4 linked regions of the Xenopus tropicalis genome follow. The protein of the gene in region 2 binds, or shares a complex with, the protein of the main gene of each other region. Links are inferred from orthologs where the notes say so. Each region holds a gene or a part of one and is shown on either strand. Other genes may lie near its edges.

The links.
Region 1: the proteins of seh1l (region 2) and wdr59 are in contact, whole or in part, in a cryo-EM structure (PDB 7UHY), measured with the Homo sapiens proteins. The link is inferred for Xenopus tropicalis from reciprocal best matches to the Homo sapiens genes SEH1L and WDR59. Residues at the interface, in NP_112493.2 of Homo sapiens: Asn308, Tyr309, Met310, Asn312, Lys314; in NP_085058.3 of Homo sapiens: Pro713, Asp714, Glu716, Thr717, Pro718, Arg721, Arg837, Glu840, Gln843, His844, Asn847.
Region 3: seh1l (region 2) and nup37 share a complex: the UniProt entries of both Homo sapiens proteins name them as parts of the nup107-160 subcomplex of the nuclear pore complex. The link is inferred for Xenopus tropicalis from reciprocal best matches to the Homo sapiens genes SEH1L and NUP37.
Region 4: seh1l (region 2) and nup43 share a complex: the UniProt entries of both Homo sapiens proteins name them as parts of the nup107-160 subcomplex of the nuclear pore complex. The link is inferred for Xenopus tropicalis from reciprocal best matches to the Homo sapiens genes SEH1L and NUP43.

The regions. Positions count from the first base shown.
Region 1 is NC_030680.2:74,562,327-74,570,591, reverse strand, and holds the start of wdr59 (GATOR complex protein WDR59), read right to left. Parts: upstream 4,521-8,265; 5' UTR 4,339-4,520; coding exon 4,285-4,338; intron 2,893-4,284; coding exon 2,843-2,892; intron 1-2,842. UniProt on the Homo sapiens protein: As a component of the GATOR2 complex, functions as an activator of the amino acid-sensing branch of the mTORC1 signaling pathway. The GATOR2 complex indirectly activates mTORC1 through the inhibition of the GATOR1 subcomplex.
Region 2 is NC_030682.2:103,474,134-103,482,252, forward strand, and holds the start of seh1l (nucleoporin SEH1), read right to left. Parts: upstream 5,164-8,119; 5' UTR 5,101-5,163; coding exon 4,990-5,100; intron 2,878-4,989; coding exon 2,827-2,877; intron 973-2,826; coding exon 826-972; intron 1-825. UniProt on the Homo sapiens protein: Component of the Nup107-160 subcomplex of the nuclear pore complex (NPC). The Nup107-160 subcomplex is required for the assembly of a functional NPC.
Region 3 is NC_030679.2:49,126,725-49,134,705, forward strand, and holds the start of nup37 (nucleoporin Nup37), read right to left. Parts: upstream 5,075-7,981; 5' UTR 5,043-5,074; intron 5,020-5,042; exon of another isoform or gene 4,876-5,019; coding exon of another isoform or gene 4,854-4,875; intron 3,124-4,853; coding exon of another isoform or gene 3,092-3,123; coding exon 2,936-3,091; intron 2,288-2,935; coding exon 2,163-2,287; intron 1,381-2,162; coding exon 1,308-1,380; intron 654-1,307; coding exon 559-653; intron 1-558. Other genes in the region: parpbp (PCNA-interacting partner), read left to right, coding at 7,056-7,205. UniProt on the Homo sapiens protein: Component of the Nup107-160 subcomplex of the nuclear pore complex (NPC). The Nup107-160 subcomplex is required for the assembly of a functional NPC.
Region 4 is NC_030681.2:58,287,947-58,295,955, forward strand, and holds the start of nup43 (nucleoporin Nup43), read right to left. Parts: upstream 4,689-8,009; 5' UTR 4,396-4,688; coding exon 4,273-4,395; intron 3,451-4,272; coding exon 3,328-3,450; intron 1-3,327. UniProt on the Homo sapiens protein: Component of the Nup107-160 subcomplex of the nuclear pore complex (NPC). The Nup107-160 subcomplex is required for the assembly of a functional NPC.

The sequences.
Region 1 (8,265 bases), on a different chromosome or scaffold from region 2:
TCAGAGGAGAAATTCATGACACCAGTGCAATTTATTGAAGGGTTAACCAAGGATTAACGGGAAAAGAGGAGAGGATACCACATCAAAGGATAAATGATTAGATGATTAGAGTTGATAATCACAGAAAGTGGCTCAGTTTCAAAAGTCACCGGTCCAGAAGAGATCTGGGAGCCATCTGCTGTTTTCACAAGAAGGGGTTGCTGCTTCAGACGTGTAGCAATATTGTAGATCTTGACAAAAGTAGCGTCAATGAAGCAACCACAGGCTCCAGAGTCAATGATGACTTGATTCTTTAGAAGACCTTGGGACCACTGTAGGGAGATAGGGACAATTAGCAGAGGAATGTCCTTGGAAATAGTGGGAGTAGAAAAAGAAGAAGTCGGTCTATGTGGCTTACCCGCGGGCCGGGTAGGACAATCTCTTAGAAAGTGACCAGGGAGACCGCAGTCACATAGATTATGTTGCCCTCTTCAGAATCTTTCCTCAGGAGAGATGGCGATCCTGATAAGGCCAATCTGCATGTGTTCAGGAGGTTCCACTGGCGTAGCAGAAGTAAGGGGTTGTAGAACAAAAGGAGCCTTAGAAAGAACCCAGGATGACGAAGCCGGATTAGATCTTTCGGCACATCTCTCTTATAGTCATCGATCTATTTGAATCACCAGTTCAATAAGATCTTCCAGACTCTCAGGGACTCCCACAAGGGCCAGCTCATCTTTTAAGGACCCACTTAACCCTAAACTAAACTGATGTTTAAGAGCTTTATCTTCCATTCCGTATAAGTGGCATAGGTATGGAATTCAGTTACAAAGTCCTCAACTGGGCATTTGCCAGCTGTTGCAGATCTCTTAGGGTCATCATAGAGTTGTGCCATGGCACCAAAGAAGGCGTTTGAGTCACTTAACAGAGGACTCCGAGTTTCCAGCAGTCGATGTGCCCAGGTCTTTGGCTCTCCGGATAGCAAAGAGATTGCCAGTCCAACGTTAGTTTGTTCAGAAGCATACATCTGGGGCTTTAGAAGAAATAGTAAACGGCAGTCAGTTAAAAAAGCACGAAATTTCTTTCTGTCACCAGAAAAACGCTTGGGCAGAGGCATCTTGGGTTCAATGACCAGCAAGTGAGTAGCTGCAGTACCAGAAGAAACAGAAGGATTCTTTGTTAGCTTGAGAAAGGACCAGGAGGTCAGAAATGTTGCTGTGTCTGTGCCACATGTAAAATAAAGGTGGTTTTATGAAAATGAGTGCTGCTATTCCCATACATTGAAGTCTGAAGGTATGTGGAGGTGAACATATGATGCTGCGTGCACTCCTCTGATAAACTTCTCACAAGTGTGCTGGAAACCCATTGTACTAGAAACAGAAGGATTCACAGGAACGGCTGGGGCTGGATTTGTTGTCACACCAAGGCCCTGGATCTGAACTTGTAGTTGCTGATAGCACCCCTGTAAATCCTGGACTGCTTGGGTGAGCGCTGCTAATTGTTGGAAAAGCACATCAGAGGAAAAGGCCGCTTGATCACCAGACTCCATGGCGAAGTGATACTATCAGATATCGCGATAGACCGATGAAAACTAGCCTGTCCTACGCTTCCCACTGGGCCCGAACACTGGATGTGGTAACAGTAGCAGGCCCAGCTGAAGAATAGCAGGAGTGACGTAGGTACCTACGTAGGTACGTGAGCAAGAAAGTCCAAGCCCAGGTGAATACACAAAATCAGGCACCAAATGCAGAAGAGAAGATCATAAAACAGGCCGGGGTCAAATCAGAAGTCAGAGTCCGAAGTCAAGCCAAGGGGTAACCGAAGAGTAGTCAGAAGCAAGCTGAAATCAGAAGTCCAAGGATCAATCAGGAATACCAGAAATGATCGGTGACGATTGCAAGCAAAAATGATCACTTCGCAAAGTGTACAGGCCTCAGCGTCCTTAAATTCGAAACTCGCATGCGTGCAGCGTCAGTCGCGGGGTGCCCGTGAGCGGCGTACGTTCGGTCGTGTGCGCCCGTGCGCGGTGTCTTTTCGTCCGCACCGCCGCATACCATGTGCCGAAGCCGACCGATGGTCGCACGAAAGATCGTACAATCAACCACTAACCATTCACGGCTGAAACGGCAGATAAGGAGGTAGAAACAATAGGATTTCTACCTCCTTCTGCCGATTCAGCCCTGAAGGCAGATTTTGATCAGGCGCCTTCTATGGCGCCCGATCAAAATATTTTAACCTGGCCGATCGGCGAGTCGACCGATATCAGCAGCCTCCTGCGATATCGGTCGACTTGCCGACTTGCTATACACGCACCGAATATCGTACGAAGCGAGGTTTTGTACATTATCGGTGCGTGTATGGCCAGCTTAAGGTTAATATTGGTTTTATATAAACCAATATCAGTACAAACCAGCATGGTGCAAAAGTGAATAGAACAAATTTTATAGCAAATATGCACACTTGCACGGGCACAAGAATTACTGTATTAAAAGACAAAATAATCAAAAAGCTTTTTTTTTTTGTTTTACATTTTGTTTAGTTGCTGATGCAAATGTGCATTCTGATAAAGTAAGATATAAGTAGTGCACTCAGAATGCCTTAAACCAGATATTGGTTCTTATAACAGAAACCTAAATAAGTGCCCCACTGTCCAAAGGTCCCTTAGTTCCGTAGTTAGAATGTAAGTTCTTTTGAATCTTTCAATCTTAAAAATCCTGGCAATTTATACAGACAGAGATCCATAAAACAAATGCACTACTCTTGAACTGGTCACTGATGTCTCAGCTCTGTGTAATCAGCACAGTGCTATATCAATAAATGTATAAATACACTATGCACACTATTTTTTTCCTGGAAACAAACTTACCCAGAAAGTACAGCAAGCTGTCCTTGGCAATCGACTGACATAGCAGTTGCCTATAAAAACATTACATATTTGCAAGTTATGATTCTTTACATAATAAATAATACATTTATAGTGGATTTATTTTATATTTTCTTTTTGTGACCAGGATGAAAAAAATATTTTTTACAGAAATAAAACAACAATACAAAGCTATTAGGGCAGTAACTAGGATTACCTTATATAGTGTAATGGATGGGCCCAGATTAAAACCTAATGAGTGTATAATTTAGGCTTCAAGCTGTCCCATTATTCACCCTTATGGACAGTGGAGTGCTCAGGGCATACTTATACAAGCACAGGAAAAATATACACACTCCATGGAGATACTAGGGTTTGTATGTATACTGACATTTTAATATGAAACCTTGAATAAAATCATTTTTTATGTACTGGTTTTGTTACAAGATACTTCTTTCTATGGTTGCTTGTTTAACATGCTAGGCACTAGAACACATATATATTCAGTATACATATATACTGCTGCTTTCAAGAGTCTTAGGGGGGCAGCATTTTGCCACTCTTGCGAATTATCACTGAGGGATGGAGAGAAAACACTGCAAATTTTATTTTGATTAAAGAATTTCTCATTAACTCTGTATAAGAGCATAGATCACTTTGGTGAAACAAAGGTGATATATTTGTGCTACAAGTAAGGAAATGTTTCAGGCTCTTCCAGCCCTTTATCAAGCCTTTTAAGGCTTAATAGCGCTTGTAGAGCCCAAAATGTTGCCTTACTTGTGGCCCGAATAAATCGCCTTTGTTTCATCATTACGTGCTGCTGAGGCTTTCTTTCTTTCTACAAGGAGTGACCCTGGGCAGAGGGGATCATAGTTTTACACCCAGCGCTTCAATAGGCAACTATATGTGTAAGTGAAGCACTGTTACCTTGAGAGAGTGGATTAATCTTTAGTTTTTTTTTTTTTATTAAAAGCCAGTAATCCTGCTTGTTATAATTTTGGAATGCAGGAGAAAACAAAAGAACACGGAAACAAGGAAATGTTCAAATTCATTTTACCACACTAAAAATGACATGCCTTTTGGAACTTGTGCTACAATTCTAGATACTAGGACAAGCAACGTGACTGAGCTAAAGAAAAAAAAAAATATATATATATATACTGAACAGTAGATCACATTATTTAATAGGTCAACAATCTGACAATTGCACTTAATGGCCTCCTGAATATACAAAACACTATAAAACTAATTGTAAAGAGAAGTCCAGGCATACTGGAGCCATGTCTACCTCCCCTGACAGCTAAAAACTGACTCAATCATTAGGCGTCTACTACTAGGCATGCGCAAGCCACTCCCTTCTATCTGCCGATTTTTCTGTAGGTTGTTCAGATTAGAGCGCTCGATATTTGCAGTGAACCCACAGCTCCTGCATTTATTCCACTCACCTGCGAATCCCGAAATTCTACCACCACGTTCTCGCTGCTCCAGTGAGCCGCCATCTTTGCCTACTTACCAGGCGGCCGCAATAACAACAACAACGTCTTGCATCACGACGTCCTTGTCGCCGAGCAACACCTTAACGCCAGTGAATAGAGAATTCTGGGACTAGTAGTTTTTTCTCACATTGGCATGAAAACTAAAGACGATGTGGTAAGTGTAAGGAACAGTGTATAACACGAAGACATCAAAAGAAAAGGGCACTGCCTTAAAAATACAAATTTTATGTGGAGATAAAAGTTAGATTTTCGTCAACCTTGAAAAAAGGATTATACCTGGGAATACAAAAGATCAAAATCATACCTGAGTTCATGAACAATTTTAAGATAAATCTTTCTAAAAATGAATGTTATTGCGCTGTAGTTTTGGCATTTAGGTCTGGCTGATCTGTCATAACTAATATACACCATGAAACGTATTATCTGTTCATCCTGCTGCTGCTGTGATCCCTCCTTGCTTGTCTGATAAGTTATTGCTGGTCAAGCGGTGGTTCTCTGAAGTTTAAAAACCAATAACAATATAATAGGGATAATATACAATATAATAGGGATAATTTATTACTGCTTCAACATACCTCCCAACTGTTCCGATTTTCGCAGGACATTCCCTCTTTTGACAGCTTAACCCGCAGTCCCAGATTCTTACTGAAAAGTCCCTCATTTCCCTTTGATCTCTTGCACTGAAGCTAAAAAAAGATACAAATTTAATTAAAAGTAGCTTTTGGCAGAGAGCCCAGAAATCTGATTGAGCTTCACCTGCACTTAGAAACATTGTTTCTCGCTTTTAAGGCTAAGGCTAATGCCACATGAAGCGTAGGGCTGAAATTTTCGGCAAGCGGATAAACGCTTGCCGAAAATTCAGCCCTACGCCTCCTACTTGTGCCTGCACCCGAATGAATGGGATACGCTCAGGTGCAGGCACATGTAGCCGATATACGCATGAAAACGCTAGACTTTGCATTCTCTCGCGTTTTCATGCGTATATCGGCTACATGTGCCTGCACCCGAGCGTATCCCATTCATTCGGGTGCAGCAAAAAAATCCAGTAGCACACTGAAGATGCAAATCGTGAAAAAATTGTATTTTATTTGCCCAAGTACATAAAAACAAGCAAAGAGCAACGTTTCGGGACCCTCCGGACCCTTTCTCAAGCTTGAGAAAGGGTCCGGAGGGTCCCGAAACGTTGCTCTTTGCTTGTTTTTATGTACTTGGGCAAATAAAATACATTTTTTTCACGATTTGCATCTTCAGTGTGCTACTGGATTTTTTTGCTGTTGGATATTGACCCCCATGCAAGGTGAGGTTCTTCCAGTATTTGCACCTGATACCCGTTTGGGTAAGTTAACAGAGGGTTGAGCTCCCCAATACTGCTATTGCTATTCATTCGGGTGCAGGCACAAGTAGCAGGTGTAGGGCTGATTTTTCAGCAAGCGTTTTTCCACTTGCCGAAAAAATCAGCCCTATGCCGCGTGTGGCATCAGCCTTATGTCAGACGAGGCGTCTGGCATATATTTATGGCAAGCGGAAAAGCACTTGAGCGTATTACATTCATTCGGTGCAGGCACAGGTAGGAGGCAGATGGCGGTATTTTGGCAATCGATTTTCCGCTTGCCGAAAATATACGGCAGACGCCTCGTCTGACATTAGCCTAATTAAATAAGTAGCTTTTGGCAGAGAGCCCAGAAAGGTAAAAAGCCACACCTGCACTGAGATACAATTGTAACTAATAAGCTAAACAGGTCTCTTGGGGGAACTGAGACTAATTTGGGGACGATTTCAGCAAAACTGTAATAACACATAAAACAGGACCCCCATTTCCCACCTTACAGACAAATCCAATGCTGACTGTTCCTTTCTTCCCACCTTTAGACCCTCAGCTGCATGTTTTGCTGTTTCAGGGTACAGAACCTTAACTGACTGGGTTGCTTGATAATAACCTCATTAAATATATACCAATAATAATTGTTATCATTTTTAGTCCCCTATGTATATTGCAACAATAACAACATTAAGCTATAGCCATTAAGACGGGTAACTTTAACCATAAATGTACCCCCTAACGTAAATAATTATAGTGCAATCTCTTAGTATACCCCAAAAGACTTGGGTTTGGCCCCCCAGTCTCCCACAGTAACAGCCCAGTCTCCTCCTTTTAATTTGCACTCAAATAATTTTACTCCTGCCATTGTGAAGGCCTATAAATCCTTATTTATCCACTGGAGATTAAATTATATTTACAGTCCAATTTAACGTAGAACAATTTAGGCCCATGGATACATGGGCATATTTATTTTTTAAGGATGGCAAGTTAACCAATCCAGATAAGATAGTGGAAACATTTACCAATTTTACACAAAAGAAAAATCTAAAGAACTAGACAATTACCTGCAAAAATACCTTCCAGGTCACTCTAGACATGAAACAGTTAATGAATAAAGATTTCACACATGAGGAAATAGCAGTGGCAATCAAACGCCTAAAACCAGGCAAGCACCAGGACTGGATGGTTTTACCTTCCCTATTGGTTGTTGCTCCTTTGAGGGCGGTATTTTTGAAATTTTAAATTTGATGAATTTTTCCAGCTAGGTGCTGCCTTGTTCCTGGGCGTTTTTTACACGTTCCTAATCCAGTGGCCGTCTAGTCTTCCTGGTCTATTTGATTGCAGGTATTTATTTATTTAATTTTTCTCTTGTATCTTATCCTTTTTGGTGCCTTTTTTATGCTTATTTGGTTTATAATTTTTTTAGACTGTGCACCAAGGATGTCTCCCGAATAAGAAATTATGTGCAGATTGTTTTTCACTGTTGGCAGAGCCGTCCCGCCTGTCTCCTCCTTCAGCTTCAGGCTCTGCTGTTTCTTCCAGTTTGCTGGCATGCATTTCGGAAGCCGTGGCTCAGGGTATCGCTAAAGCTACATCTTCTGAGCCCTGTTTGGATGTCTCCTTGGATCCTGTCTCCTCGGATGATGACTTAGCCCATCACAATCCAATGGGAAGGGCAGATCTCTCACTTCCACTTGATTCAGAGGAGGAGGAAGAAGAGATGGAATGTTCCTTTTTTGATCTAAGTTTGGTCTCACCATTGATCAAAGCTGTTAAGTTGGCTTTAGGGGTGGAGTCCCCGACTGAATCAGCCTCTAAACCCAAGGTGTTACCATCTTCTGCCAAGTCCAAGGAACATTTTCCCATGTTTCCGGTCAAAAGTGGTCAAAAGGTTCCAAAAGGGTTTCTGTGTATGCTCTTTCTTGCTCTTTTTCTTTCTTTCTTGGTTTTCTAGGCTGTATCCCTTTCTAGGAGAGGACACCAAGTTCTGGGATTCTCCACCAGCTGTTGACTCAGCGGTCATTCACCTGGCCAAGAAAACCACTCTCCCTATTGATGATTCCTCAGTCCTGAAGGATGCAATTGACAGGAAGACGGAATCTGAATTGAGAAAAGTTTTTCAAGTCTCAGGGGCTGCCTGTCGGCCCACTGTAGCTCTAGTTGTAGCTCTGTAGCAAAAGCAGTTTCTCTTTGGATTGACAGCATAGATATGGCATTAAAAGATGGAGCTGATAAGCAAGATATTTCAGTCGGTTTATCGGAGCTTAAACAAGCTTCTGCCTTTGTCTCCGAAGCAGCTATAGATGTCACTCGCCTTATAGCTCGGAATATGGCTTTGTCGGTTTCAGCCAGAAGGGCCCTTTGGTTGAGACAGTGGGCGGCGGACACGCCATCCAAGCTGAGTCTGTGCTCGTTACCTTTTGAAGGGGAAAGGCTCTTTGGCTCGAAACTGGACGACATTATCTCTAAATCGTCAGGAGGAAAGAGTCTGTTTCTCCCACAGGAGAAAAAGAAACAGAAGAGTCAGTCCTTTAAGTCCTTTCTTTTTTCGAGGATCTGGAAGAGGCTTATCTAGCATGGCGAGGTCAAACTTTAAAGAAGCAGCAAGA
Region 2 (8,119 bases):
TCTTTTTATTCCAAACAAACCTTTGAGAGTGGCCAAAGAGTTAATTTTTACTTTAGTTCACAGCACTTTAAAAGATCACTGTTTTGTATTCCTTAGCTTAGATGTTGATGTTTGTGATGAAGTTGAAGGTTAAGCTTTCCTTTGATGACTCTTCCATGCAGATCATGTTTGTGTAAGCAGTGCTGTGCCATGAAACTATGCAACACCAGTCTTGCTCTTAATCTTGCTCTGTCAGATTGTCTCTAGACTTCCACAGTTCCCCTTCCCCTGCCATTTCTTGATGACATGGCGACAATTAACTTTGTCAGATGTTCGCACAGTTGCATTATGGAGTCCATGATTGTTGACTAACAGAGATTTCATTATGCTATTCAAATGTTAACAGTTGACAACTCCTAATAGATATTAAGGCCTAATGGGGTAATTAGGGTCAGGTGAAAGGGTGTCCAAACCTTTGCACATGCCATAATTTCTTGCATTTGTTTATACTTCTCTATGCTTTAAAGTTTGCAAAATAAAATGGATCTGTGAATTAATGTTTGCAAATATGCGGTTTCTGATTCAACTGTATTTGTTTACTATAAATTTACTAAATATTTAATTTGGAAAGGACTGCCCACATTTTTCAGACTGTACATACTGGGGTAAATTACAAATCTTCCAGTTGAACACTCATGATGTTATATATAGACAAAAATGATGCACATCCAGGTGTATATTGAAAAGGTGCAATCAAAATATAATTATCATATAATCATATATACAGTTTTCAAACAAGCTCAATACTGGGAAAAATGTGCTCATATATCTGACAATAGGTCTTACCCAATGACTCTGTCCGCGCAGTTTATCATTTGATTCACCAACTATTTCTTCCCACACTGCAGCAGTTCTGTCAAACGAACATGAGGCTAATACCTGGCCGAATTCTGGGTGAGCCCATGTTACCCGCCATACTGAACCACTGTGGGTCTTAAGAACAAGACAAAAATAACATTTTCCTTCCAGAATACAAAGGTTAAAGTAAATTACAAGCTGCTCCGACTGCTCTGTGCATTAAATACAGTGTATTTAAATATGTGTGCGTTTAGGAATAGCATGCTAATATTGAGGGCTGTGTTTTCTATGCAAGCACACAAGGTTTGTGCCTAGAGCAGTAGCAGAGGTGTATATAGCATTTTCTTTTTAAAGCTCCAGACCACCACTAGATTCTAGTGGCTAAATTAACAAACAAGATGAGGGGCTGAGTACCCAATTTCCACCAACTGGCACATGCACATTTACAGTATTAAGCATGCAACAATTGCATAGGGTAGCAACAGCTATTAATCCGCCACTCATAATACTGTAATAACTAATAAACTTTTTTTCATTATTGAAGCATGGCAGCTTTTCCCAGTAGTACCCAATCACTAAACCTTTTGCTCTGTTTAATGGCAATGGAGACATTTCCTTTCATTATACTGTCCCTTTAAAAAAGGACTAGCAAATTAGGCCCTAGTTAGTATCTGTTGATTGAACATCTAGAAAAACTATTTCCAGACAAGAAATGTCCTGTTTAATACACCAGTAAGTGCAAGGCAGCAGTATATTAAAATTAAACACATACGAAACAGTTTATTTACCGTATATACTCTAGTATAAGCCGATCGCCGAGGTACCTAATTTTACCTAAGAAAACTGGAAAAATTTATTGACTCAAGTATAAGCCTAGGGTGGGAAATGCAGCTCCTACTGCTTTGTTGTTTTTTTTTTTTTTTTTTTTTAACTGTCAGGCAAGTTTGGGAAGGCTAAGAAAGCTGCCATACTAAGTACTTGCCAACCTGCTGTGTGCGCTCCCCTGTGTGCTCTCCCATCCTGCTGTGTGCGTTCCCATCCTGCTGTGAGGCCCAAACCTTGGTTGAACAGCCCGTAATGCTGCCTTCAAGCTACTAAATAGCTGTTTGCTCCTCCAGAGAGCTTTCTATTGTCTAAGTGGCCCATAATGGGGACTTAGACTATTTTCACATGGAACATTTTGATTGTCTATATTTGTAGCGCGGTAAAAAAAATACCTGATGTCCACCACAGTCTGCTTCCCATTGACTTCAGAGCTGTGCAACTTGTCACCCAGCGTGGCTGAATATCACCCTAATACTTAACAGCTCATCCAAACAAAACAGCTTGTTGGATTTCTGCCGTGTGCGCTCCCAACTTAAAAAGGCAAGCGCACGCACGTACGACCATTCACGGGGGGGGGGACACTTACATCTTCAAATCCATATACTCGAGTATAAGCCAAGGGTGACTTTTTCAGCACATTTTTGGTGCTGAAAAACTCGGCTAATACTCGAGTATATACAGTATTTGTTTATTGTTTTACTGGTCTTTTAGTGCAGAAATTAACTTAGATCTGTCTACTGCAGGTGGAAGAAACCTTCAGAATTGTAATTTTGGTCACAATGTTGCTGTTGTAGAAATGCTTGTTTTGGTCTTTTTAAGCAGTCTCTGTCTCTCACTGCTTCTGTCTACAACAGACATAACATTTGTTAGACTTGCTATTCCAAGCTGTTACAGATAATATGGGTATTTCTGACTGACACTGATTTCCTCAACAGCACCTCTGCATGTCATAGGACTAAAATCCAACCTCTAACAACCCCTAACATTTTGGCACCTCCCAGTGATTATATCTTGCCTTCTCCTTTAATGCGGCTCTATGTTTTACACTTACTTGATATAATGGCCTCCCCTTTAATATCATTTTCTGAAAATTCCACTGCATTTTATTTGCATATACCCAATAAATAGTATGCATATAACAGATATTTTAGGACAGTAACTTACCTTCCAGCTTGCAGTACAATGCCAATCGCCATTTTCACTTTTGTCCCAAACCTACAAACAAATATATATAGCCCCGATTGATTCACAGCATGCCACATGTTGGTGTGAGAGTAAAAAGCAAGGCATTTTGTTTAGCTTATATATATAAGTAATAGGTTTACAGACCTAAAGACTACATGTTATAGGTGAAGGGGTGATAAAGTTATCTGCTTAGATAACTCCAACATGTGCGGACATATAAAGCCACATTTATCAACGGTCACACTGTCACCGGCGTACTAAGTGCCAGGAAATATTGCTGTATTTATCATTCTTTCCTATTAGATTTTTTCTGAGTGAAATTTATTTTAAAGTTAACTTTAAGTATGATGTAGAATGGTATTTGGAGAAATTTTGCAATTGGTCTTCATTTTTTATTACTTGTCGTTTTTGAGTTATTTAGCTTTTTGTTCAGCAGCTCTCCAGTTTGGAATTTCACTAGCTATCTGGTTGCTAGTGTGCAATTTAACCTACCAACCAGACAACTATCTAAAAGAAAGGCAGGAATATTAACAGAGTATGACCTAAATAGAAATTTAAGTAATAAAAAAAATCAGTGCCCCCCCCATTTGAAAGCTGGAAAGAGTCAAGAGAGGAAAGCAACTAATTAAAAAATAAAACCAGCTTAAAAGTTACTAAGAATAGGCCATTCTATAACATACTAAAAGTGAATCTGAAGGTCAACCAGCACTGTTGCAGCACTTTACACAGTTTGAAAAACCTGACATGACTTTTCATCCTGGTTGACAAGAACAGCAGACAAGAAAGTTTTGACCAAAAGCATAAAATGTTTTTCAACTGATCATAACTGGAGAACATTTCCTGGATAAATCCAACAATTGTGTAAATGGGGATTTTTTATTTTTTTTTAAATCAAATCAAGAAAAGGTCAAGATATGTGTAGTATGCATAAAAAGCCAATGCTTTAACAGGAAGCTAGTTTTTCACAGTTGAATAAATATGTCCCTTACAGGGAAAGTGACATGTTCCAGTCAAAACAGGAATGTGTCACTATGCCTAAATAAATCCAAGCTGCTAATCTTTTCTAATAGAGGTGGCCTGCCCCCCCCCCCCCCTCCCTGAGTTATATTGTGCTGCTTAGAGCTATGTATTGATAGGCTGGAGCACTGTTTATATTTGTGTTAAGGCAATTAAAAACTGGCACCAGCATTATAAGTGGTCCTAGCAAGAGCTGCTTGGTGTTATCTTTATTTTGGTTTAAAGGAAAACCAATGCCCTTTAAAAACCCTAGGCCCCTCAAAAGGAGTCCCCCTCCCAAACCACACCACTGAGGTCCCCTAATATTGCCGCAATTACTGTACCTATATTATATCAATAGCAGTGCAACAGGGTTGGTGCAGTGTTTATGTTCTCTATACAACGATCACCAACCTGATGCATGTGCAACACAGATCCGGGTAGGTCTGCCAACTTTGCCCTCAGCAAAAACCAAACAAAAGGGTGGAATGATTGGGGGCAAAGCAGTGACATATAAGGCAGTGATCCCCAACCAGTGGCTCAGTAGCAACATGTTGCACCCCAACCCCTTGGATGTTGCACCCCAACCCATTATTTTTGAATTTCTGGTAAGGAAGCAACCTTTTGGTTGCATAAAAAAGCCAGTCCACATAGGGGCTATTAAGTAACCAATTATAGCTCTTATTGGCTCCCTCAGGAACTTTTTCCATGCTTGTGTTGCTCCCAAACACTTTTTCCATTTAAATGTGGCTCACAGGTATAAAAGGCTGGGTATCCCCGATATAAGTTAATAACATCATAAGGTCAAAACTGAACAGATGGCAACCCTAGATCCCACCAATCCCGTTGCACTATTCTGCCTTTAAAGAACAGGTATGACCAGGGTACTATAAGAGGTGAGCAGTGCTGCAGGGGGGGTAGCTAAAAATGGCAAAAGGAAGACAGGCTCATCCACTCGGATCTTGGAGCATGTTTACAGCTATGCCAGTTTTACCAAACGGAAAACATCCTCTGGAGAATATATCCGCACGAAGCTATAGAACAGGAGGATTAAATATAGCCACACGCTTCCTAATTTTGCGTTGTGCAGTTAAAAAAACAGCAGGAAGGCCTTAGGATGGGTGCCCACAAAATTCTCCCGCTTACTTTCACACTCTGGTCACTGGAACATGTCGCCATCCTCCTGCCATGGAAATCAAACGACACATCGTGGATGAGATCTTTGTGATCGGCAGCGATACTTCTTGCCACGAACATAGTGCACAAGTCGGAGTGTCAAGCAGTTTGGACAGGGCTGTTGGTTTAGCGGTTCGAACTAGACGTCAGAAAGCAGCATGGATTTTTTTTTTTTTCATGGCCCAGACATGAGCCTGACGTCACAGCATCAGAACCTCTACGCGCCTGCGCAAGACTTCGCGCTTTTACATTCATCCATCCGGTCGCATTCTAAATACGCAGCGTACGAACTGTGGAAAAGGGGGAGGGTATTTGTGTGTGATGGTAGGCCGCGCAATTTAGCTTTCTAGGAATTTTATTATCTTCTGAGCTAGTTTCGAGCTGCTCGCTGAACTGTTTACTATTCAGAGCCACGGCTTGTAAAACAGAAGCGCTGCTATGTGCGCCCCAAGGGCGAGATTAGTAGCCCTGCAGCCCAGTCACAAGCAATAACGCCAATGAAGCCATAGTGAAGGTGCCGGCCCCTGAGGAGATTTGTCGCCCACAATTGAGGCCAGTGACACACAGGGAGATTAGTCACTGTGCAAAAAAACTCTGTTGTCATGGGCTACTAATCTTCCCGCAATGCCATCCTACGGGCTAAAATGAAATTCGCTGGTGGGATGGCATACGCGGCATAGCCATTTCCTCTCAAGACAACTTTGGCAAATTGTGGTGCTGCGTATGCCATCCCACTGGCGATTTACATTCTAGGTGGTGGGATGGCATTGCGGGGAATTGCTGGCAGAAAGGTGCACGTGTTTCCAAAGTCGCAATAGTTTTGGAAACTGCACAACTTCAGAAAACGCCAGAAATTAGTCATTCGTTATAACCAGATTTAACTGCGAGTGACTAATCTCCCCATGGCCTATCACGTTTACAATGATTACAATGCTATTTTGCTGATGACACAAAGAAAATTAATCTCTAGCGGTGGCAAATAATCTCCCCGAGTTCTTTCCTACAGGTAAGAATGTAAATCGCAAGAAACCTTTGGATTACTTCACTTAACTGAAGAGAGATTACTTGCTACCTCTAGAGGCGATTAATTGCAGGGCAACTAATCTCGTATGTCATTGGCCTAAAGCTGGTCATATACCCACCAATATCGTACGAAATGAGGTTTCGATATTCGGTGCGTGTGCGGTGGGTCATATCGATCACATCATTGAACGGGCAGGACAAAAAACTTTGATGATGCCCAATCAAAATTTGCCTTTAGGGCTAAATCGTTAGATAAGGGTAGTATCCCTATTGTTTCTACCTCCATATCTGACGATTCAGCCCTGAATGTCAGTGGAGGGTGGGAGTGATCTTTCCAGCAACCAATGATCGTACGAAAGATAATAATTGTAAGGTATATGGCCACTTTAAGGTAGAAAAGTATCAGTGGCTGCAGGTGGGATTTCTAGATCCACTCATCCAGGCCCCTCTTAAAGGCATTAACAGAGTCTGCCATTACCACATCACTAGGAAGGGCATTCCCCAGCCTCACTGCCCTCACCGTGAAAAACCACCTACGCTGCTTCAAATGGAAGCTCTGTTCCTCTAATCTATAGGGGTGACCTCTGGTGCGCTGATTGTTTTTATGGGAAAAAAGAACATCCCCCAACTGCCTATAATCCCCTCTAATGTACTTGTACAGAGTAATCATGTCCCCTCGCAAGCGCCTCTTTTCCAGAGAAAACAACCCCAACCTCGACAGTCTAACCTCATAGTTTAAATCTTCCATCCCCTTAACCAGTTTAGTTGCATGTCTCTGCACTCTCTCCAGCTCATTAATATCCTTCTTAAGGACTGGAGCCCAAAACTGCACTGCATACTCAAGGTGAGGCCTTACCAGGGACCTATAAAGCGGCAAAAATATGTCCTCATCCCTTGAGTCAATGCCCTTTTTTATACAAGACAGCACTTTATTTGCTGTAGTAGCCACAGAATGATACTGCCTGGAATTAGACAACTTGTGATCTACAAAAACCCCTAGATCCTTCTCCATTAAGGATGCCCCCAACACACTACCATTCAGTAGATAGTTCGCGTTTATATTATTCCTACCAAAGTGCATAACTTTGCACTTGTCAACATTGAACCTCATTTTCCAGTTTGCTGCCCAGTTTTCCAATTTTGTCAAATCGCTCTGCAAAGCGGCAACATCCTGCATGGAATAGTTTTGCACAATTTAGTGTCATCAGCAAAAATAGAAACAGTACTCTCTATGCCCACCTCCAGGTCATTAATAAACAAGTTAAAAAGCAAAGGACCAAGGACTGACCCCTGCGGTACTCCACTAACCACACTGGCCCAATTAGAAAATGTTCCATTTACCACCACTCTTTGTACTCTATCCTTCAGCCAGTTCTCTATCCAATTACAAATATTATGTTCTAGGCCAATATAACTCAATTTGATCATTAACCTTCTGTGAGGTACTGTATCAAACGCTTTAGCAAAATCTAAGTAGATGACATCAACTGCCATTCCAGCATCAAGGTTCCTGCTCACCTCCTCATAAAAGGCAACTAAATTAGTCTGGCAAGATCTGTTACGCATAAAACCATGCTGGCACAAACTAATAGTATTGTGAACTGCAATGTATTCAACTATCCTATCCCTTATTACCCCTTCCAGAAGCTTTCCTACTACTGATGTCAGACTAACAGGCCTATAGTTTTCAGGCTGAGAACGAGATCCCTTTTTAAATAACGGCACCACATTAGCAATCCGCCAGTCTCTCGGCACCATGCCAAACCTCAACGAATCCTGAAAAATTATGTGAAGAGGTTTGGCAATCACAGCGCTCAGCTCATTTAATACCCTGGGATGAATCCCATCCGGTCCTGGACCTTTGTTTACCTTTACATGTTCAAGTCTCTTTTGAATTTCCTCCTGAGTGACCCACGCGTCAGTAGCTAAATTACTAGCACTGGGTATATTAAAAGGGAAGCCTTCATTATCTGGCTCCTCAGATGTATAGACAGATGAAAAATAAGAGTTCAAAATGTCTGCTTTTTCCCCGTTCTCATCAACCAACGTACCTCCCCGTGATAATAAAGTTCCCACC
Region 3 (7,981 bases), on a different chromosome or scaffold from region 2:
AACAGTAAATTATATTGTAAATACTTTTAAACACATTCATTTTTTGGTGTTACTGTTCCTTTAAACTGTGTTGGAGGAAGCAGGAGACAAACCAATATGTACTACAAATCTCATGAGTTAACACTTATGCAAAAGAATTCCAGAAGAGCACTGTTACAAAACAAAGGCTTTTTGTAATGTACTATTTTGTAGGATACAATGCAAAATACAGTAAAGACCTGAAAATAGTATTACACCTGTAGTTGAGCAGTAACCTTTTCAAAATTCAAGACAGCATGATTGTACAATAGAGATATTTAGACCAAGAGGTGATCCTAACACCAGAGCTGCATTATTCCTAATAGAGGTTTCCTGTATTGCAAAACCACACGAAGGCAGATCATGCAACAATATCTGGTATGCAATCCACAACTGTTCTGCATAACAATGTCACCTTGAAGCATTTTAATAGCTGCCTGTGTAAAGCTTTTTGTTGTGCTGTGTACTGCGCAATGCATTTAAGGTTAGCAGGAATATTTTAGAAACACAAACACACACAAGAACTGAGTGTAGGACAACCTGCATGTGTGGTCATCGCCAACGCTTGCAATATCACTGCCTTCTGCAGAACAAAATACCAAGTCATTTATGTATCCAGAGTGGCCTTCAATAACCTGAAAAATAAAATATGAAAAAATAATGCTTAAATGACATAGGAATAAATGTAATGTGTCTGTGTATGCCACTAACACAAAAGAAAGAAACCATGCAAACATTGTCATGTAGACAAATTATAAGGTTGCACATTTATGGTTTAAAGCTCCCCATGACACATATCTTAAATGGGTTACAGCAAGGGTTCTCAAACTTTTTAAACATGGGTCCAGTTCATGGACCCTCAGAATGGCCGGACTGTAGTCCTCAAACTACGCCCCCCCCCCCTTCCTGCATCCTCAAACTACAGCCCACTCCCTGCTGCGTTCTCCCACTCCCTGCATCCCTGCTCCCTGATTTGTCCTCTGGCTTCCTGCTGCATCTGTGACAGGTAGTAGCCAGGAGTGAGGACGCAGTGGGGGCTGGATCTTATTTTACTAACACTATGAAACTGCAAAATTCTTCAATATGACACCACATGAAAAATTCCACTAAATGTCTGTTTCAAACCCAGAATTAGCTACATGACCCCCGAATAACAATAAAGTAATGTACATGCATAATGCATTTGTTTGTATTACATTTGTTTATTGCAAATGTCTGTAGAGTTATCTGGATAGTGGCATGTTTATGATTAGTGGCTTATGAATTGCAAAAATAAAAGTATTCAGTACCTTATACTCATTTTTGTCCTGGAAATCTGATGTAAAGATCCTTATTTTTTTATCACCAGCTGCAGTGGCAAACCTACAGTAGAAATAATTGCTTTCTGATTAAAAAAGTAAATTAAATGTATATTTAGAGAATAAAGATTAGAGAGCATGTGGGAAAAGAAAAATCACCTGATTATCTAATAGCGTTATTTTCTGCAGTGCAATATTTATACTAACTTTGATGCTTAGGGAGCATTATAGCAAAAATAAGTGTTTAGAAGGCAAGCTTCAAAAATGATTAGATGATAAGAAGACACATAAGAATAAGTTATGCGAAGCAGAGAACATCTGCCAGCATGTGGTAGACTGAAATGACAAGCAAGACAATGTAATGGACACAACCAAAAAAAGGGCTGTTGCTGAAGTAAGGACACATTTTTGTAAAAAACACATCAGTCAATTATTCAATGGCTGCATAGTGTATCTATAAGTAGGTTTAAAAAGTGGAATAGGTCAAGTGTTTATTCTCCTCTTAAACACATAAAGCAAATTAGTGTACTTAGTCATGTAAGTATGTCACGTAGAGATCCCAAATTGAAAATAGCAAGCACAAAGTGTACCACTATTTGGGGAAAACAATCTGAAATGCAAGACTGCCTATTATATACAGTCCAGCATATCTCCAGCAGCGGGAAGCTGCATTCTTCTGTCCAAAGATTGCACAATTTGAGGTGCCATAAGAAGTCAGTTATAAGCGTTCCATTTTAAAAAAAAAAAATAAAAAAATAACAGTACCAACATACTAAAAATAATAAGAACCCTGTCAAAAAAATAACATATGTACTGTATGTAACTAAAAAAGCCAAAAATGCATACCTCAGTAGAGGAAGTAAAGCATCACATCGTGTTTCTGGACTCCAGGCTATAGCAACCACTCTTTCTCCATGATGGAAGGTTTTTAGGGTCTTAAACTCTATTCCTTCTACAGCAGAATCTTCTTCCTAAAAATGAAATATCACGTATAGGCACAGGTATGAGTATATTAGTAGGCTGGATATTAGTGCAGTTCCATACAACAGTTATGATGCCCTTTGTGTTAAGAATTCAAGCAAAATATAGTGGTTCTTCTTCTTTAAAATTATATATGTTAAGTATAACTATAAGAAGTTGTAGTTTACAATGGAGCACTGGGTCCCAAAACACTTTTTTTCGCCTTTCCACCAGAAACAAAGGTTATAGTCCAGTGGAAAAGTCTACACATCTCTTCAGCTTTCCAAAATTGCCTACAGCTGGAAACTTTGCACGACTTTGGAGAACCAAAGAGATGCAAAAGCCTTTCCAACGGCGATTATACTTAAAAGACAGAATCAGGATCATTAGGCTTAATATTATCTGTTCTAAAAAGGCATACCCTGCCCCCCTAATGTGAAGTGGATTATCTACTAGGAAAATTGCTGTAGTCAATGCTGACTCCATAATAGTAATTTACATATATGTTTCACAACATTAAAAAGTTTTTCATTTATCAACCGATGTTTCCAAGTGATTCCATATGACTCTCACAATGGCCTGGAGTAAAAAAAATGTACACACCTACAATTTTACCCTAAATCAGCCACTAAATGAAAAAATAATTGGCATGTACATACCTGAAACCTGCAAGATGCAATAACGACATAACTAATTCCACCATAAGCTAGTAAAGAGCCTGCCTCCCCAGAGTCAAAGGGATTAAATTCTACTACATGCACATAATCTTCACAGTCCACTGTGTAGGTGGCATTACTTGTTGAATCTTGCTTCATAGTCTGCTTCTGTTTTCTTATTTCTAAAAGTGCTAAAAGGAAAAAGAAAATCTTCAAATTTTATGTATAGATCTATGCTATATTAAAAGGGTACAGTTTTTGCACCCTTATTAAGCCATTTTTTACAACACAGGTGTTACTGTGATGGCTGTAGTCACATGTGTTCTCAAGTGTGCACATGAGGTTAATTCCAGCTTGGGCATTCTCTGCAAGAAGAAGTAGTGTTTTCTCTCCTTTGTGCAGGGTTTCTTCTGTGTACTCTGGTTTGCTTCAACACACTAAAAACAGTCAGCGACAGCATGGCTCTTGCTAACCCTGACCCTGATAAGGACCTTAGACGGAGCAGAGCAGATGGAGACTCCCTTTTAATGAAAGAAAAAGTGCAAAAAAAAAAAGACCCTTTCCAGCTGTTAGGGCTCTGGCACACGGGGAGATTAGTCGCCCGCGACAAATCTCCCTTGTCACAGGCGACTAATCTCCCCGAACTACCATCCCACAGGCGAAAATGTAAGTCGCCGGTGGGATGGCACACGCTGCGCAGGCGATTTGCCGAAATTTGCCCACCAGCGACTTACTTAGTGTGCCAGAGCCCTTAAACTTGCTGATAGATCAGTTTGCACTTATCAGTTTCCAAAATTGCGTAGGCCCTTGGTCAGTGTATTTTTGAAATGCATAATACTTGGGGCAGTTCTATGTTGAGCATATGTATGTATGTTTATAAATTTTGTATTTATGAAGTGCTACATGAATACATGAAAATGCAGTAATGCAGCGCAGTACAATGTAAATTCTAAAAGACACAGCAGTAAGGAGGTCCATGCCCTCGTAGAGCTAGATATACACAAAAAAGTTTTATGGTCGCTTTAAAATACTACTGACACATTCCTAGAAAACATGTCACTATTACTGAAGAGTTGCAGCACCAACGTATTTATGGCCAAAAGTCCCCAAGGAATGCACCACCTCCAGCCCAGGAAGGAGACAGATAGAAGAATCCGTAAGGCTCTCTGTCACGCAAAGTTTCCACGGGCTAATTACAAATAAAAACTGCCTATGGAAGGATCAAGCCACACTTAGCCCAGCATGACTGACACAACTGCAAAGGAATCTGTAGCCATGTTGGAGTGTCACCTCAGGTAAATTATTGCTGCGCTGGGGCCAGTGTTAGTGGGCTTTTGGCAGAAGGTTTTTGGTTCTGCAACTCGTTAGTAATACGGACACATTCCAATGGATTTTTATGGAAACATTTCAGTATTGCTTTAAAGGGGTGGTTCCAAAAAGCTGAGGACACAGTTTTATGGTTACTTTTTCTTTCTATTCCGAGCCTCCTCTATTCATATTCCTGTGTCTTTCAAACTACTGCCTGGTTGCTAGGTTAAATTGGGCCCTAGCAACCAGACTGATGCTGAACTTGCTGGAGAGCTGCTTAAGAAAAAGCTATATAATTTAAAAACTACAATTAAAAATGAAGACCAACTGCAAACTGTCTCAGAGCACGATCTACATCATACTAGTAGTTAAAGCGAACAACCACTGTAACAAAGTTACTTAGACTGGGCAGGGACCTCCTTTTGTCTTTAATTTTGTGTAGTGTGTATTTATTTTATTTATAGTGCATACACCCGTTTGTTCAATTGATATATCGTTCTTCTACTATACGACAAACAAGAACCTACATATATACATCACGCATACTTCTACTACTACTACTACTACTACTACTACTACAAACAAGCACTCAAACTGTATACGATCAACTTACAGACGGCAAACGCCTGACACATTTACAGCGGGTGAAATCGCATTCTACCAAAGCCACCCGCCACCATTAATACACGCCGCGTTTTGGCAATATACGCAGACCATGTACCCTACAACCAAAACATTTCATATTCCGTAGTTATAACTATCTCAGCAACCGCAGAAACCCCGCTGTATCACCAATACACACCGACCCAGCCTGCCCTGCTCCCGCCAGTAGATTTGCAGTTCTCTTTCAAAGCGAGCGAATCCCCTTCCTACTACCTATCATATCCGGGGCTCTAGGTCGCGCACGCTGATTGGCTGAATCTAGGCAACTCTGTGGCGCTACGAAAATTTAAAAGTCCCACGAACGTACGAGGTTTTTGAAAGGAGAAACAGCTGCTGTTTTGTTTGATAGAGAGAATAGTAGCTGCGTCTTCTGGTGGTAACTTCGTTCTGTCTCAACCCCCACAAGTAAGTATGATGTACATACACTATCTACTTTTTGCTTCTATACTAAATTTTTTTTTTTTTTTTTTACACCTGTCTAATATTTTAATATTTCCTTCTCTCTTCATTAGACCCCATGGCTGCTTCTCTCTTAACCCCCCACACATATAGCATACCATTCACCCTCTATGTAATTAAGCCACATTTAAAAAAAAATATATGTTTTGCAGGCACAACATATTGCTGCGAAGCAGTAGGCAGACAGCTAAAGGTTAGTAGTCCTAACGGGAACAGCCCCATCCCTGGCCTGTTTTCTATTAAGTCTTTGCAATGTTTATACATATTCACTTGTGTAATTATTTTTTTTTAAGTAGTGGGGTGAGGGGAGTTGTGTTTGTGTTATGATTTTCTTTGCATAGAATATCTATCTATCTGTCTATCTATCATCTGTCATCTGTCCATAGGGTGCATACCTGGGTGGTAGTACCAAAAACATGCACTGGAACAAGGACAGCACTCCTAGGATTTAAAGAATTGTGAGCAAAATGTAAATGCAAAAATAGAAAGGTTTATTACCCATCTGGAGACCATTAAGGTTTCTGTGTAAGACTGAAACGTTGAGTGCTGTCCTTGTTCCAGTGTGTGTGTGTGTGTGTGTATATATATATATATATATTTCCCATACTTAGGGAGAGCCTTATTTACCTGAAGAAAATACCTATAGACAAGGAATGTACCAGAATGGATGTAGGCCATGATGGCTAAGCAGCAATGCATGGCTATCTCATATTATCTGGTTGATGGTCCTGTAGCCTGATTTGGCCAAAGACTTGGGTGACCACATCAGGTTAAGATATGCTACTGTTATGGAAATTCAGATACCGGATATCATTTGGGGTAGAAAAAGTTTATTTATCACAGATTCTGAGCAAGAGTCTAAGAATACTTAGACAAAGGATTGGGGGGTTTTTATATTGTCTTACAATTACACGTTATAGAAAAAGGCTCTGCAGAAGGGAGTTCTTGGGAACGAAAAGGGAGTTTTAGGGGGGTTGTGCTTGAAGCTGGACTCTAGGACAGTAAACAATAAAACAGTGTGCAGTAGCTGATAAGACTTGCTCTGGAGATGTGCTCAGGAATGCAATTTACTTTGAAACTGTCCTGACCATTGAAGGACCTAAATATACTGCTCAAATAGAATATGGGATCACCTGAAGGTTGCATCCTTTCAGATAAAAGCATTTCTGTTTAGATCATTAGCCTATAAACTTCTAATTTGAAGATGAGTTATGCTGATTCTAATTCTGTTACAGTGCTGATGTTCTATAGAGTATTACAGGTTTATGCTTTATTATTGTGGCGAGCCCAGACTGCTCCTTCATTGAACAGTGCATGGCTGGTTAATAGGGGCAGCAGAAAGCTGCCTCTGGTAACTTCAAGAGCCAGATTTTTATTTATTTTTTTTAAATACAAATTTTCTTTCTTTTTTTTTTTTTTAATCCAAAATTCATCTCTTCTAGAAGTTCTAGTGCAGAAAGTACAATTGTACGCTCAGTGCTAGCAACACAAAACAAGTGAGTGTGGGGTGGGTAAGGTGGGGATTGGCATCTGGGCAGATGCTACAGGTGGCAACGACCACTGGGGGTGCCAAGCAACTCACCATCCCTGGTGATTGATTCTTCTTTTCTTTCTTTATCTAATGGTAAAATGTTGTACTTATTTTTTTTTTTCCTGTCTTTACTAAACTTTTCTCTTCCCCCTTAGGTTGAAAATGGACTGTCCACTTGAAAATGTGTTGGATTTAATCAAATACTTTCGAAAAGAGTGGCCTGTTGTGTCTGATTCTGAGAGAACGACAATATATGGAGCAGACAATATGCTTCTGACTTTACAGCTGGCTCTTGCTGAGGTTAATAAACAGGTAAATTAAGTTTGTGCCTCTCTGTGTTAAAAAAAAAAAAAAAAAAAAAAAAAACATGACAACTGAAGTAGGAGTCTGACTGGATGAGCACAGCAAATTAAATCCACTGATTTAAATTTAAGTGTAAATATGTTCTGTGGATTTGTTTGCTTTGCCATATTTGCAGCATGCATATTAGAAACACTGCTCCATTTAAAATATATAGGAACTTTTCACTCTGAGCTTATACCCAACTTTGCTTGTGTGAACTCTTGCTGTAGGATCTTTCTTGGTACATTTGGGTGGTAATCGACATATTTTGCATGCTTGGTTGTGTATTGCCAGTACGGGGCTCAGTAAAAGTTTTGAGGATATGATACTTTAGAGCAAATGCTATCACTTGTCTTTTTTAATTTCTGTTGTGACTTTTAACAGGAAAAAATGTATTACAGCCCAGTATGGTACCCACGTCTGTTTTTCAAAAGTCATAATGTATGTTGCTAAAACACTAAGGACAACGCTAAGGCCTACAGTTAAAGCTTTACTTGCACTACCATTGCCTAACATTGCGATTGCCACAAGTTAAATGTAACTCACGGCGTTCTGTCTTTAATAGTGGGAAAATGCAAGGGAGACTGTTTCATAAGGTTAAGCCTGATTGCTGCAAGCAGTATGTTTTACTTGCTGCAAGTTCTATGTTTGGCACTGGAAATGCATTTTTAATTGATTTGTTGCTCATGATATCGCATATTTAACTGCAGGTGATGTACCTTACCATCTAACATTAAAGGAGAATG
Region 4 (8,009 bases), on a different chromosome or scaffold from region 2:
GGAATCATGCTACAATGTGTAGCATATTTGTGGTCCTTAACTCATTAACAAATGTAATGACAGAGACAAATCAATAAATGTCTAGAAAAAGGTATATATCACCCTAGGAGAGGCCCCTATTACTCCATCCAAAAACCTTTTTCAACCACTGATCAATGACAGAATAGACTCCCTTGTCTGCTGGAAGGACATACTAGTGTATAAAACAGAGTTTATATTATGGTCCCCTTATATATTTATACATAGTCATCCTAACTCCTCTTAAAGTAGAAGAAAAGCTATGCTAGGCACCTCCCAGTGATTATAATCACTTACTTGATACCCTAAGATGGTGCTTCTGTTAGCTGTAAATGGGGGTATTTCTGTAGCAGCACCATTTTGCAATCTTCTTCCCCTTCTTAGATCTTCTCTTCGGTACTGCATATGCACAGTAGAGAGAAATGCTAGCTTTTCACACTACTGTGCATGTGCACCCAAACCAGAACAGTAAAAGATGATCCAGAAGATAATGATTGTAAAGTAGAGCTCTTACAGTAGTTGCCCAGACCAGTGAACTTTATAGCAGCCAGGAGCACCATCCTGGGGTATCAGGTAAGTGATTGTAATCACTACTCAGTTACTATAAGCTTCTCCTTTACAGTGTAAACATGGGTCAGCCTTTCCTCATAACTAAAAATTACCCTGGCGGGCCGTAGTTCGAGGATCCCTGTTTAGAAGATAGTCCATTATGGTGAACTTGTCAAATTCAAAGTAGACCACATCTACTGCAACTCCACTATTCTACTTACCTCATCCTAAAAAAATGCTTAATGTGTCCATGATCTGTCCTTCATAGTGCTGATTATTGATTACTACTTAGAATGCCATCCTCCAAATCATAATCTTGAATGTGATCCCTTTACAAACCTTTAAATAAGCATGTCCATTACTTATGGGTCTATAATTGCCAAGCTAAGATTGGAGGATCCATTTTTAAATATTGGAATTAAATTAGATTTCCTCCAATCCATAGGTACCAAACCACATGCAAGCAAGTAGGGAAAATCAGAAAAGTGGCCTGGCTAAAACTGACCTCAGCTCTCATAGTACTCAAGGGTTTATAGCAGTGCTGTCCAACTTCTGTGGAAACAAGGGCCTGAATTTTTCTGGCCTATATGGTGGAGGGCTGATAATGGAAGCCAGTTTTGACCACTCCCCTTTTTTAAACTGCACCCACTTCAAACCACACCCATGTTATCACAAGAGCTTTTAAAATCATACCCACATTAATGGTGGTAGAGCAGCCAAAAACCCAAATAGTAGGTGCTCACTGTAAGGATATCACCCTTCATCCATATGTGAAAGAATTATATTATGTCATATTAAGACACACTCTTAAACCCATATACCTCATCCTCCCTTGTGGATAGCACAGCAACCCCCAGCATTTATATACTGGTTCACCTCCCACAGGCAGCATAGGGGAGGGAGAGTATGGCACACCCAGGCAGCATAGGGCAGGCATAGTATGGCACACACAGGCAGGGTAGGGCAGGTAGAATATTGCCTGTGGGTGCCATACTCTGCCAGCCCTATGCTGCCTGTGGGTGCCATACTCTGCCAGCCCTATGCTGCCTGTGGGTGCCATACTCTGCCAGCCCTATGCTGCCTGTGGGTGCCATACTCTGCCAGCCCTATGCTGCCTGTGGGTGCCATACTCTGCCAGCCCTATGCTGCCTGTGGGTGCCATACCCTGCCAGCCCTATGCTGCCTGTGGGTGCCATACCCTGCCAGCCCTATGCTGCCTGTGGGTGCCATACTCTGCCTGCCCTATGCTGCCTGTGGGTGCCATACTCTACCTGCCCTATGCTGCCTGTGGGTGCCATACTCTGCCTGCCCTATGCTGCCTGTGGGTGCCATACTCTGCCTGCCCTATGCTGCCTGTGGGTGCCATACTCTGCCTGCCCTATGCTGCCTGTGCCATACACAAAGGCAACATAGGGCAGGCAGTACATACTGTGACTCAGTACCATGTCCTGAGTCATCAATTGACTTGATAGAGCTGAGTCATCTGTGTCCTTGCCTAGTGGTTCTTGCAACCCCAACTTCTCTACTGTATACACTGTAGAAAAGAAATCCTTAAGCACATTTGCTTTCTATGGTCTTTTATACCCAAATCACCTCCATTTCCACAGTCCACACCTACATCTTTTTATAACTTAGATACTTTGAAAATGAGGAGATTATTGCTGCACAGGCAAAGACTAATCTCCAAAAGTATTTCACCTTTGCCTTCCCTATTGCTGCTTTACAACACTTGTGGTATTAACATTCTTTACAAGAATCATCTGTCCCCTCACTTGTAGTTTTTAAAAGCCTTCCTCTTCATTCCTATTAACTTACTTACTCCCACATATCATGCAGCTTAACACTCATATATTCATTTAGATAACATTATGGTCACCATTACCCTGGGCTTCTAGTGCATTTGTTTTATCACTAGGTCAAGTATAGCATAATTCCTTTAGGGGCCCTGAACAATCTGTGACATAAAATTGTTATTTAGTAAGTTTGTAAACTTGTTAAATTAACTGTTCTGACACTAATATTAAGGTCTCCATACACAGGCCGATTCTAGCTGCCGATATCAGTCCGTTAGACCGATTCAGCAGCTAATCGCCAGTGTATGGGCACTACTGATGGGCCTGCCCAACCAATATCTCGATCGGGCAGGTTAAAAAAACCTAGTCGGATCGGGGACCCCATCGGCTTGTTGATGCGGACCCTGAACCAACTTTGCCTATACCGTCGTTATAATTAGATCAAATCAGCCTGGATTCTCCAGATATCGCCCATCAATAGGTGGGGGATATCGGGAGAAGATCAGCTCGCTTGGCGACATCGCCAAGCGAGGGAATCTGAAGGTGTATGGGGACCTTTACTCCAATCAATATCTAATGAAGTCAAATAATTCACTATTATGACTTGACCCAAACTAGCATACCATTATAATTAGTTTGCCTGATGTCTTAAGATTTGTGAAAAGTTCAAACACAAAAGGGCCCTCTCATTTTCCACCACTTATTAATAGGCACCAACTATGACAATACAATAAATAAAATTATTATGTGAACTTATTAAGGAAAAGTGAATTTGAATAAATTGTAGTTGAATAGCCTATTTCTTCAAGGGCCGGGATTTCATACAGTTTCATTTCTTTTATGGCTATTTTTTATATAGTATGGGGGCAATTGGTCCCTTGGCTAGTGAGATAAGAATATCCTTATGTAGAGGAAACAACAGAATGTAATTATGTAGTGTAAATAAAAAGTTCCTTTGTTAAGGTACCTGCATGTCCATAACATCGCCAATGTGTCTGATGTCACACAGTTGTTTAGGATCTCCTTGGTATTCTTCTTCTAGACTTATGGCCCCAAAGTCTGAAGTGGCCCACACACATACCTTGTTTTCCTTGAGCATTAAAAAAAAAAAATCAGTATATGTAGTGTATTGACATGTCATAAAACTGTATGCAAAACTTTCACTAAATATATCAAACTTTGATATGCCTTAACACTAAGGGGCACATTTACAAAAGCACGAATGCACGAGCGTTCATGTGAACGCTCCGAGCGTATTTTCGCAGATTTTTTCGGGCGTCCGCACGACTTTTTCATACGACGCTCAACTTTTTCAGACGTTTGCACGAAAAAATCGGAAAGGTTTTACCGCTGTTTACAATTGTTCGGTATGAAAATTTCATGACTTTCGGGTCGCCAATCCGATATTATCGTGACTAATACGATTTTGTCATAAGCATTTACGTGATATTTGCGATCTTACGAAATTTTCGTTTCCAATACGATTTTTTCCCATTCGTGATTCGGATTCTAAGGCAGTGCTATTTGACATTTGTAGCCATCAGTGGAACTACATCACACTCTGGCACTTTGTGGTGTGCTGTGTCAATAATAATTAAAATTGTGCTAGGAAAATGACTAGATTTACCAACCCCCATTAAGTGTACCCAGGGCTCTTGTGTTACAGGAAACTGTAAGCTTCTTGTAGAGGGTAATACGTCAATGAGTACAAACACATGGCTGCACAATTATTACAATGATCTAAATTAACCATGTAATACTTGGGAAATGCTGCTCTTCCGTAGTTTAAATAACTGTAAGAGTTTGACAGCAGGGGATTCAGGGTATTATAGATCACCTACAGCCGTATCATTGTGATTTTTAGTTTACTCCGAATGTTGGTTAAACACATTTCCCCGTGCCACAACCATACCTCATTATCCCAGGAACCCGTAGCAAACACATCCGGTTGCTGCAGCGACGAGGCCGACACTGGGCGCCAGCGAGTTCTGCTAATTTTGTGAGAGACAAATTTTGCAGCGAATTTATCGTCCATGACACCCTTAATTTTGAGGTTGGCTATGCCACCACTACCCCCTTAATGACGAACACGTCCAGATTACAGGGCTATGTTGAAAAAAAGAGGCAGAGCCTGAAAAAAAGCCGCCAGACGGCGCCTTGTCTGCCACAAGCGTTCTGATTGGCAATTCTCAACAACCCAAACTGTACTTTCATTGGCTATAATTTCCCCGCCATACTTTCTACAGAGTAATCGCTGAGGTGACCAGTGATCGGAGTAAGGAAATAAAATGAAATGCGTTTATTAACGCATTCGTTGCCACAGTACAGTTCAGTGACTATGGCTTGCGCTAAACATACTTTGTTATTAATTATATAGCGTTATCCTTTCATACTGGGTTTTACAGCGTAAAGGAATACAAGACCAAACGGTTAACATATAGAAGTCCTGCTTGTGGCCTAATAATTTAATTAAGAGGGACTTATGTTTGTGTTACAGTGAAACCTTAATTTTAAATAACCTTATTTTGGGTTTTCCCACATTTTACACTGTTTAGGTGGACCCACCGACTTTTAATGCATAATACATTTCTTTGCTTTTACATTTTCCTGGAATTTTACATCATTTCTTTCTGGTCTCCTGAGAAATGTAAAATGGGGGTTTTACTGTATATCATGCACCTTATAAATTATAGGAGGAAAGCACATTGGGCTGTACCTAAAGTTGCCACATTTTGTACAGAAACATATTGGCCACATAGTGAAGAGGCGAGCCGGTGACATAAGGGGCAGGTGGGACAAGGAGACGTGATCATAACATAAATAGGCAAATTGGGCAGGGATGTGGTGAGAAGGGCAAAGTTATACAGTTTTTACAAATATGCACCTATATATTACATTTACAATTTAAAAATATATATATGCCCCCAGCCTTAGGGCTCTGGCACACAGGGAGATTAGTCGCCCGCAACAAAAACTCCCTGTTCGCGGGGGACTAATCTCCCCGAGTTGCCATGACCCGCCATCCCACCGGCGAACTTGTAAGTCGCCGGCGGGATGGCACTCCCGCGAACAGGGAGTTTTGTCGCAGGCGACTAATCTCCCCGTGTGCCAGAGTCCTTAGTAAATCTGGTAATGGAGCTGGGGGTGCATGGTAGGGGGTTGGGTTGCACTGCAGAATTGTCACCACGCACATGCAGCATGTGAAGTCACTTTCACAACGTAGGGGTATGTGACATCACGGGCACAATGATGTCACATCTGCAAAGTAGGGGGTATAGTTAGGTCTGGTGTCTAGAGTGGCATTGTTGTGTACCACTAGAGGGAGCTGCATGCCTAAATGTTAGCTCAGCTACATGTGTTATCCAGCTTGACTTTCTACTTATCCTGCACAACTCCACTGTGAACCCAACAGGCACCAAACCTAAATACAGCACTGTAGCTAGCAGAGATGAAAAGGTAGCATTTTTCCAATGCTTTAGCTATGTAATGGGCTCTCCCTAAACTGCCATGTACAGTATATACTTTCCTAAAATTCTTGTATACACTGCCAAATGGTCTGGCCCTCCCCACAAAAATAAAAAATAATACAAACTTCACCTGACAGAAATAAACTTTCTACATATAGTAAAAAAAATGTGCTGTTTGAATCCCTTAAGTGAGCATATTTACATTTGGTTCTAAAAAATTTAGCTGGTCCAGTTTGTTTATGTAAGCAATATTTACTTTTTATGCTATTGCGCTCTTTGCATTAGCCTCAGGGTGGCACTTGGGGCCCGAACACAGCTTTTACTTTCCTTGGCAACTGAACCTATCACCATAAGGAGATAGTAATGGGTTACCAAAAAGCAGACAAGGAATATAAAATAAACCTGTATGTAGACAATCCACAGCTGACACTGCAGAGTCCCCTTATTAGCCTGATTAATTAGTGAATTTGATTAACTGCTTCCAAAAATGTAGTCAGTTCTCTGGTCTCATGGTAACCTGCAAAAATTGGAGATAAAGGAAATAGGTGATCCATATCAGACAATGAAATTGATTCAACCTTTTATATCCCTGCGAGAACTCATGCAATGTCAAAGCCTGGTTCCAGCTAGCCAAATCTTATAATGAACTTTTTACAGTCTCCCTTTGATTAAAAAAGTCTTAAAGGACATGTAAACCCCACACACAAAAATTGAATCAGTAAACAGCCTCTTTGAAATCTTTCAATACCTGCCACACTGGTTGTCCAGAGGTTAATAGTAAGGCTGCAGCATCTCCTTAATCACTTAGATTTCCTTCTCCTCCTGTAACCCACTCGCCCCCCCCCTCAGGAATTTGCTTTGATTTTTGGCTTGCTCTGTCTGCTTCAATTTTTTTCTCCTAACGTCCTCTCCTGAGCTCAGCTTAAACAAAGAAATTTTATCAAAGACAGTTCTGCCTATGTTAGCCTGTATTCTTGATGAAATGTATGCTGAATAAGGGTCTGTGTGTGTGTAGGCTGTTTGCAGATTTAAATGTATCTGATAAGGTATTAGAGGAAAAATGATGACCGGGTGAAAGCTAATATTTGCTTTAGAATAATGTGATGGTGCTAGGAAACAGAGTGGATATATGCAGTACAAATAATGTCATTTGGATGGGGGAGACGTGCCCAACTGATATACATAAGTGTATATAAGTGTTTAGCAGGCGTTAAAAACAAAAGGGTGTTTAAAACTAAAAAGGCACTATACGAGGGATTGCACTCGGGAGACTGTAAGTACCCAGTGGCAATATGAGTTCCAGTATGATTGCCGGTGTTACTCAGTGTGAATCTTGTCACATGTATGTGATCCTGGAGCAGCAGTTCCATACAGCATTCACTTGTGAGAGATGCAGGTGGGTTTTCCTCTTGGAATCTGAGGTGCAGAATCTAAGGGGGGGAACTGGCAGCACTGAGGGCAGCTGCAAACATGGGGGAGAACAGGAGGCTCACTGAGCAACCACTGGCAGGGGCCGGTGTAGTGGGGGGTGGAGAAGGGACAGTGGAGGTTAATAAGGGAGACAGGTTTGTGACAGTTAAGAGGGGAAGTAGGGGATGCAAGGGTAGGGGGGCTGGTTCACAGCTTGTACAAACCCACAGATTTGCCGCTTTAGGTGAAGATGCTGGGGAAGACAGCTCTGAGGTAGCATGTATGGAGCAGGCTGACTGTCAGAGCACCCTGAGAGCCTGCACCTCTAATACAGGTGGGGGGAGTAGTGCTTGGAAGGGAAGGCAGGCTATAGTTGTAGGGGATTCAGTTATTAGAAAGGTGGATAGGGTAATTTGTTGCAAAGACCCTACATGCGAAACTGTGTGTTGCTTGCCTGGTGCTAGGGTTCATCATGTGGTGGAACGAGTGGACAATTGTTGGGAGGGGCTGGGGAAGACCTGGCGGTCTTGGTACACATAGGTACCAATGACAAAGTTAGAGGGGGGGGTGAAGTCCTTTAAGAACGATTTTAAAAAACTAGGCGCAAAGTTGAGGGCGAGGACTTCCAAGGTAATTTTCTCAGAGATATTCCCTGTGCCACGAGCAACGTTAAGAAGGCAGCGGGAGCTTAGGGAGATTAATGCGTGGCCGAGAGATTGGTGCAGGGAGGAGGGCTTTGGGTTTCTCCAGAACTGGGCTGATTTCTCAGTCG